Diceros bicornis minor: one gene and its partner. The protein of the gene in region 2 interacts with the protein of the main gene of each other region in a pairwise test. Links are inferred from orthologs where the notes say so. Each region holds a gene or a part of one and is shown on either strand. Other genes may lie near its edges. The genes, in order: ERGIC3 and VAMP5.

Region 1 (3,910 bases), on a different chromosome or scaffold from region 2:
TCTAAATATTGGAGGGGCCCACGGTATAGTCCCTAGACCTCTCCTCTATCTATATTCACTCCCTAGGTTTTCTCATTTAGTCCAATAGCTTTGAATACTATCCACATGCTGATAACTCCTACATTTATTTCTTCAGCCCTTCTCTAAAGTCGAGACTGGTACATCTGTCTCCTTAACATTATTAGGATATCAAATGGGCATCCTAAATTTAATATGTCTCAAACCTGAAATCTGCCCCCAAATCCTGTCCTCCCCTATGAGACCAGTCTCTAAGATGTCCCCAATGATCCCCACCTCCTGGTATTCACATCCTTATGTAGGCCCCCCTTCCATAATGAATAGAGCTGATCTGTATAACCACTGGTAGATTGTAGAAATGATAGTGTGCAACTTCTGAGGCTAGGTCATAAAAGAAGTTGTGGTTTCCACCTTACTCTCTTCTGGATCACTTGCACAGGGGGAAGCCAGCTGCCATGCTGTGAGGACACTCAAGCAGCCCTATTAAGAGGCCCGTGTGGTGACAGCACTGAGGCATCTTGCCAACAGTCATATGTGTGAGCCCTCTTAGAAGCAGATCCTCCAGCCCCAGTCCAGCCTTCATATCACTGCAGCCCCAGTCAACAGCTTGACTACAATTTCATGAAAGACACTAGGCCAGAACCACCCAACCAACCCACTCCTGAATTCCTGACCCACAGAAACTGAAAAAACAAATGTTTGTTGTATTAAGCCACTAACTTTTGGGGGTAATTTGTTAAATGATAGTGGATATATAATATCTCCCCACCTCTCTCACACAAAAATCCTCTTCCTCTTCTCTGGTCATCCCTATCTCAATTCATTCATTTGCTCAGGTCTAAAGCCTTGGAATCAACCTTGACTCTGCTCTCTTACACCCTACATCCAATTCTACAGCAAATTCTATTGGTTCTACTGGGGGTCAACATATATCTGTTGAACGAATGAATGATAAAGCTCAGCAATAGAGCAATCCCTAAGGTGTGAAAAATCACAACTTTGAGAAGGGTTTTGTTATGGTGGGAAACTGAATTAATGGAGGCCTTGGGAGGCCACCTAGAGAGAGGAAAGGAAGCTAAAAGTGAACAGCCACTCTGCACCAAGCATTGTACACATATTACTTCATTTGATCCTACAATTCCATGTGGTGAGTACTACTGTTTATCATCACTTTATAGCTGAGGTCACAGACTGCAAGAGACAAAGCTACATCTGAACTCAGGCAATCTAACACAAAAATGTAAACTCTTAACCTTAAGCCACTCTGCGTTCCAAAGGGAAAGAGCATTAAGGGCTGAATTCAGCCAATGGGATGAGGAAACAAACACCCAGAGAGGCTTGGGTCCATCTAGAGGAGTTCTGCCAAGGGAACAGCACATAGGACACATCCTCAAACTTCTGTTACTCAAACCATGACAGGAAGGGATAGGGGACCTCTGAGAACAGGTAGAGTACTCTACTCAATGTATAGAGGCTAGAAGACTGGATTTCAGCCCACTCTGATTCATAATAGTTGGGGGACCCTAGGCAAGCTACTTGACTTCTTTGGGTCTTAATTGCTTCATCTGTCACTGGGCTGGCCACAGCCCACTTGCCAGAAGGTAAGGCTTGGGCATGTTCAGCTCTGGGATCTGAGATCTGGCCCCCTCCCTTCACTTACCATGACGCTCAGCCTCTGAGCTCACTGGGACGCCATCCTTATCTAGCCGTTGCTTGAACAGGTTGTGTTCCACATCCAGCTGCTGTTCCCCAGCCACATCCATGGCATCGATGCTCAGATCTGGAAGCAAGAAGTCAGGGTAAGGTACTGGGATCCTAGGGTCAAGGGAACCTGGGTTTCGGAGGGTAAGGGGATGCTGGGCCTGTCTTGGGGCAACAGTGGATTAGGGGAAGAAAGTTGTCCTGGCGTTCAGTCTAGAACCTAAGGCTGGAGGTGTGAATCTGGAAGGCCACCTGAGAACCCTGAGACTTGCAACTCCCACCCATGGTGAGGTACTCACAGGCACAAGGCATGTGCGGAAAAAATACATCGATGTTGATCTTCAGTTTATCTCCCCGTGACTTGTCCACGTAGAGTTCAGGATGCACCTGGGGCAGCACGATCTCAGTTAAGTTTTGGCCCCACGGTCTCCTTCCCCACTCCCATCCCTAAAGCTCTTATCCCTAGAAGGCCAAGCCCCGCCCACGTACTACCCCCCGCCCCTTACCTCAGTGGTGAGATAATACTGCAGCTCGGACAGGAACAGTAGCAGCATAAGAAGGCCACTGACAATGGTCACTGCAGGGCAGGGAGCGAGGGTCAGACTGGCCTCTGTTCAGCTCCCTCAGCCCCCAGCACGCCGGCAGGGTCCAGGCGCCTCGGCCAAGTTCTAGGACACCCCTCTCCCCACGACCCCGACCCCGCCGCGGCCTACCGGTGGCGCCCCCGCAGGTCTTGACCCGGAAGTCCTCCAAAGTCTTGGGGTAGGCATCGAACTGCTTCAGCTTCCCCAGAGCCTCCATGGGGACCAGCCGGAAAAGGAACGCCAGTAGCCCGGCCCCTGCAGCCTCCCGCTTCCGGCCCGGAGCTTGGGCCACGCCCCCTCTCTGTCCGCACGCAGGCGCATCAATGCGCGCGCTTGGCCCCACCCCCGCCGGCGTTTTCACTCGGGGGTCCCCGCCCACCGGTGCTCTTAGCGGTCGTGTCTAGACGCTGGCAGCGGCCGCGGACCCCTGCGGTGAGGTGGTCTTATGTGGATCGACAGGGCGCCCGGAGGAGGTCTTGACGGGGTAGAAACAGTAATAGCGGCATTCGCTTGCCTTGTGCTTGGAACTGAGACAAGAGTTTCACATCAGACTCTTGGGACCTCCTAGAACAATGGTTTTCAAAGTGTCGCCAACCAGCAGCCTTCTTATCGCCAGGGAACTGGTTAGAAATGCAAGTTATCGGGCCCCACCACAGACCCGCTGAATCAGAGACTTTAGGAGTGGCTCCCAGGTGATTCCCTGCAGTTAGTTTGAGAATCATCGCTGTGGAAAGTAGGTGTGACTTTCATCTCCATTTTCTGAAGGAGAAACTGTGGCCTGGAGAAGCCAAGTAACTTGCCCTATTTCACGGCCAATTAATGTCAGGGCCTGATTCCAACCTATTTCTTCTGGACCTCAAAGTACTCTGGAAGCCAGCGCCCTTAGGGTTGATTTTACTCAAACAGCCTCTCATTGCTTCTGGTGAGCATGGCCCATGGAGGTGCAGGGCTCAAATCATTTCAGTGATGGAAGACCAGAACTTTGATAAGAGGTGGCACAGGAGACTGTGAGAGTCTGTAGGAGAAAATGACTGACACGCTAGGTTAGAGAAGGCTTCCAGGAAGAGGAGGAGGGACACTGGAGCTGGATGCCTTGTAGCAGTCTGACTCAAGAGAAGCTGAGCAGTGCCGGAGTCCCCCTTCTGCCTGCAGGCTGCAGTTTGCTAGGGAAAGGAAGACGGAAAGGACTAACTCACATTAACTGTGTGGGAGATCAAAATTTGGCCACCCTGAAATATATCTCTTTACCTTGATTGTTTTCTCTGAAGGACATTTGACCTCCCCCACTAACTGCCTAAAGAATTTGACATGGTGGCTCCTTCCTGGAACAGATCTTCCATCTGATGGCTGTAATATAATGTAAAATAGATGTTACAATAGGAAAGGCACCAACAAGCCCATCTTATCAGAAATTCTGTCTCTCTGGCCACATTCTCTGGATGGCCCTGCGAGGAGTTGCCAGACAAACATTTACATTTATAAGGGAAATCTCCATTTGTAAAGGTATCTCCCTCTCTGTCTTGGGAAGAGGGGGGATGACCTCATTTCTAGAAACTTATCAATGTGGAAGGTGAGGTCTTAAATCTGCATAATAACCTTACTCTTGT
Region 2 (3,910 bases):
TGGGACGTTGCCCCAGCATGGTTTGACAAGTGGTGCATCTATGCATGCCCGGGATCCGAACCTGTGAACCCCAGGCTGCTGAAGCAGAGCGTGCGCACTTAACTGCTGTGCCACCAGGCCAGCCCCTCAGATCTACTCACTGGCTCTGTGACCTTGGACGGGTGGATTTAACCCCTCTGAGCCTCAATTTCTTATAAAACTGGGATAACAGTATTATCCTCAGTGGATTGTTGTGAGGATTAAAGAAAATGAAGCAAACAAACAGCTAGCAGCACAGTGCTTAGGTCAGAGTCTGTGCTGAATGGCGGCTGTTATTATTGTCAAGATAGAGAACCTTATCGACAGCCTGCAGTGCCTGATGAAAATAAACTAGATGCAGATTATCAAAGGCCCGTGTCAAGCTCTGTATTTAGGTTATAAACAATTAGGTGTACAAGTTTGCAATAAGGAAGAGCTTGCTTGGCTGTTATATCTAAGAGGTTTTATTGACCACAAGTATTGTGTAGTTCTTGGGATCTGACTGCTAAAAAAAAAAGCGAGGGAAACGAGCTACATCAATAATAATAGCTGTTATTTATTGAACATTTAGTATGTGTCAGGTATTGTGCTAAGCACTTTATTTATAATATGTCACATGCCTTAGCCAACACTGTGGTATCATTGTCACCACTTTACAGATGAGGAAGTGGAGGGTCAGAAAGGTCATGTCCTCAGTCTTCAGTCACTCAGCTGGTGAGTGGCAGAGGCAGGATTTGAAGGAACCCAAGGCTGCAATGCAGAGCCCTGCTCTTAGTCTCTGAGCTCACGTGAGTGCTGAGCCAGGAAGGAGTTGATACCCCCGTCGCTGCCCAGGGCCGTCTGACTACGATGGCCAGACAGCTGAAATAGAGTGTCTTAGGCACTAACCAAGAGAGAGGGGAGACAGCAGAGTTAGGACAGGGAGGGGTTTGAGAGCTTTGTTTTCAGCATCAAAGGAGGAATATTCTGTGCAGAGGGTAACGGTCTGTCAAGAACATTTCCTGTGTGACTACCACCCTCTGCCTGCCAATGACGCTGCTGCTTGCCCTACCCCCGGCTCAAAAACTCAGGCCCTGCAGGCTCCTGGCAGTGCTGGGAAGTGCCTGTCTTGCCCACCCTTCCTCTCTATGCTCCGTGCCCCCCCCCCCCCCCCCCCCCGCTCGCCTGGCGGACATCTCCTCACACTGTTGCTGACAGCACTTCTCCTCCCCTTCTGGCTGGCCTCTCTGCCCTGAGTTTTCTCACTTGCATCCATGCCAGTCTACCACCAATAGAGAAATTATCCTGAAGCACCTCTTCAGTGTTGCCCTTGGCTCAGAAACCTACACTAGCTCTCTATCCCTCCCTCCAAGTGAGCTTCCTCTCCTTGACTTTTACTGCTTCCTCTGGCCCCATCATGCTCCCACACCGTTATCTTCTGCCTGCTGCATCACTGTCCCGAGCGTGTCTCTGTCTCTCTATGCCGAGAATGCCCCAGTTCCACCTCATCCATCAAGGGCTCACACCCTGTCCATCACAGTTCTCAGGAATCCCCCTCTCTGTGGTAGCTCCAGCTCTCACTATGTGTATCTCACAGTTAACTCTTCACTTTCTCTGATTGTCCCATATATGTCTCTTTCCCCCAACCTATACTGACTTCTTAAGAACAGGCACAATTCACTCAGAAAATATTGTCCACACATCCACTGTGTGCCGGGCACTATGCTGAGTTCACTGTGGCAGGAGGCAGCATGGCCTTTCCCTCTGGTCGCTTACTTCCTTCCACACCCATAATTCTGTATTTCTCACTGTGCCAGCAGAGACCTGTGCGTATAGTGTCCGTTTTCCGCTGGTTGAGTGGGGCCGAGGAGGGCCAGGAACTTGAGCCTGAGGCCTCTGTGTTCCCTGGATCAAATGTGTTTTTAGGCCTGGGCCCATCTTGGCTCCAGACAGGCCTGGCTTTGCAGTGAGGGAAGAGGCTGCAGACTGCAGCAGGAGGCACAGCTAGCTCTCCTGGAGAATGTGACCCAATGTCACCCCATGTTGGAGAATAAGATAACAACAGCTGTAGCATTTAGAGTAGAAAACAATAACATCCAGTGCCCCATCAGTCTTTAGTGGTGATTCTCATTTTCGAATCTTTGTCCATTCTCGGTTTTTGCCTTGGAATATTTGAATGTGGGGGTGCCTTGGACTGTGTGAATGCGAGAAGCTCCAAATAATGGAGCCTTGTTGAATAATATAGTAGTAACAATAGCAGTGATGATGGTTGACTCAGAAAAGGTAGAGATGAGCGCAGCTTCCCTGCTCTCTTCATTAATCTTCCTTGTTCCCCAGTTACTGCTTCCCCTGGCCTGTGAGTTCACCCCTCTGTCATGGTTCGCCTGCCCCCTCTCAAAGCAGGTTGCTTTTCTAGCTCATGGGTAAATATTGACCTACTTGGGTTTCAGATGCCTGCCCCTCGAAACTCCTGCTAGGCTAGATAAACACAAGGGGATAACATCTCTTGAGAATCAGAGCTGCTTTTGGAAAGGCTATAATGCAGTTGAGCCACTCACTGAATCTGTGCAACGGTCACCACTGAGCTGGGCCCCCGGAATGGCGGCAGACAAAGGCAGGGCATTGGCCCCTGCCTTCCCTCTGGGAGCTTGTGGTCCAGTTGGGGAGGTAGGGCTTATATACTGGGAATACTTGGAGGTTGTGCACAAGGCAGCTGCAAGGATCCTGAATGAGGATTGTTGCCTGAGTAGGTGGCCCTCTGTGACCACAAGATCCCTTCCCTTTCTCTGGTTTTAACTGGAATTCAGTCAAGTGCCAAAATACCTGCTGATGACAATAGGCAGTATAGTCTGGCAGGAAAGGGAGGTTGGCCGATGCTCTGTGGGGAGGAGATGAGAACTGGGATGGGCTGTGGGGGACAAGGCTGGGAGGAGGCAGTTACTGTGGTTTGTTAATCCACTGGTATTCATCTCCCTGACATGTCCCTGGACCTGCTTCTGGACCTCCAGCTCTCACTAGGGCCTCCTGCCCTGGGTCTCTTTCAGTTGCATGCGTCTAAAGGCCAGTTCCTTTATTGCTTGTGACCCATGCTTTCTTCCTCTCTCCTGTCCTCTCAACCTCCCCCCGCTTGGACTCTGCACCTCCCTTCCCCGTCCTCTGAAATGAGCTGGGTTCTTTTGTTAGGTGAGGCTGCTGCCTAGGCTGGGAGATCCAGGAGTTGGTCTTGTTTCAGTGAGTTGGACCCCAGTGAAGATCCTGGCTAGCTGAAAGGCTGGAGGCCAGAGGCCAGGAAGGCTGAGGTTCCCAGGCAGATAGAGAATCAACTTCGAGCATTGATGTGGATGTAGAGTTAGGCCATGAGGCAGAACTGGCCTGACCAGTCAGAAGCCCAAAGAGGGAAATCTGCTCTCAGTTTGTGTTTTTGTGTGTCTGTGGGGTTAGGCAGAGGCTATGATGTATGGTGGTCCAAAATTACCTTTCTAGCTCTGTGGAGTGGAGCTCCTCCTTGTCTGGCTTCTAGCCAAGTAGCTTGGTTCCCTGTTCTTTGCTTTCCCTGTTTCTTAGGCCAGTGGGAAGCCATAGGGCAGGTGCACATTGGGTACAGGCCATCCTAGAGCAGGCGGGCAAAGTGTCTGCTTTGTGGGAGGGTGGGGTCCTGGGAATGTCCCATCCTGAGGCACCTTAGAGTAAGCTGAGATGCTTGAAGCCAAGGCTGACCTAGGACCTGCCTTGATGGGCAAGGAGAGGAAGCCTATGAGACCAAGGTGAGCCACACACAGCCAGGAGGCTGGCCTTTCACTCTGCACGTGTGAAAGATGTTGTTTCCCCAACTCATACACTGCACACACACACACACACACACACACACACACACAGTGGAGGCAAAGAGGCCTCTAGGTCTCAGGATGAGGGA

The links.
Region 1: the proteins of VAMP5 (region 2) and ERGIC3 interact in binary tests that used the Homo sapiens proteins (3 or more experiments, as listed by UniProt). The link is inferred for Diceros bicornis minor from reciprocal best matches to the Homo sapiens genes VAMP5 and ERGIC3.

The regions. Positions count from the first base shown.
Region 1 is NC_080758.1:24,185,269-24,189,178, forward strand, and holds the start of ERGIC3 (endoplasmic reticulum-Golgi intermediate compartment protein 3), read right to left. Parts: upstream 2,573-3,910; 5' UTR 2,521-2,572; coding exon 2,433-2,520; intron 2,297-2,432; coding exon 2,226-2,296; intron 2,107-2,225; coding exon 2,019-2,106; intron 1,799-2,018; coding exon 1,679-1,798; intron 1-1,678. UniProt on the Homo sapiens protein: Possible role in transport between endoplasmic reticulum and Golgi. Positively regulates trafficking of the secretory proteins SERPINA1/alpha1-antitrypsin and HP/haptoglobin.
Region 2 is NC_080751.1:4,407,359-4,411,268, reverse strand, and holds the start of VAMP5 (vesicle-associated membrane protein 5), read left to right. Parts: upstream 1-1,169; 5' UTR 1,170-3,910. UniProt on the Homo sapiens protein: May participate in trafficking events that are associated with myogenesis, such as myoblast fusion and/or GLUT4 trafficking.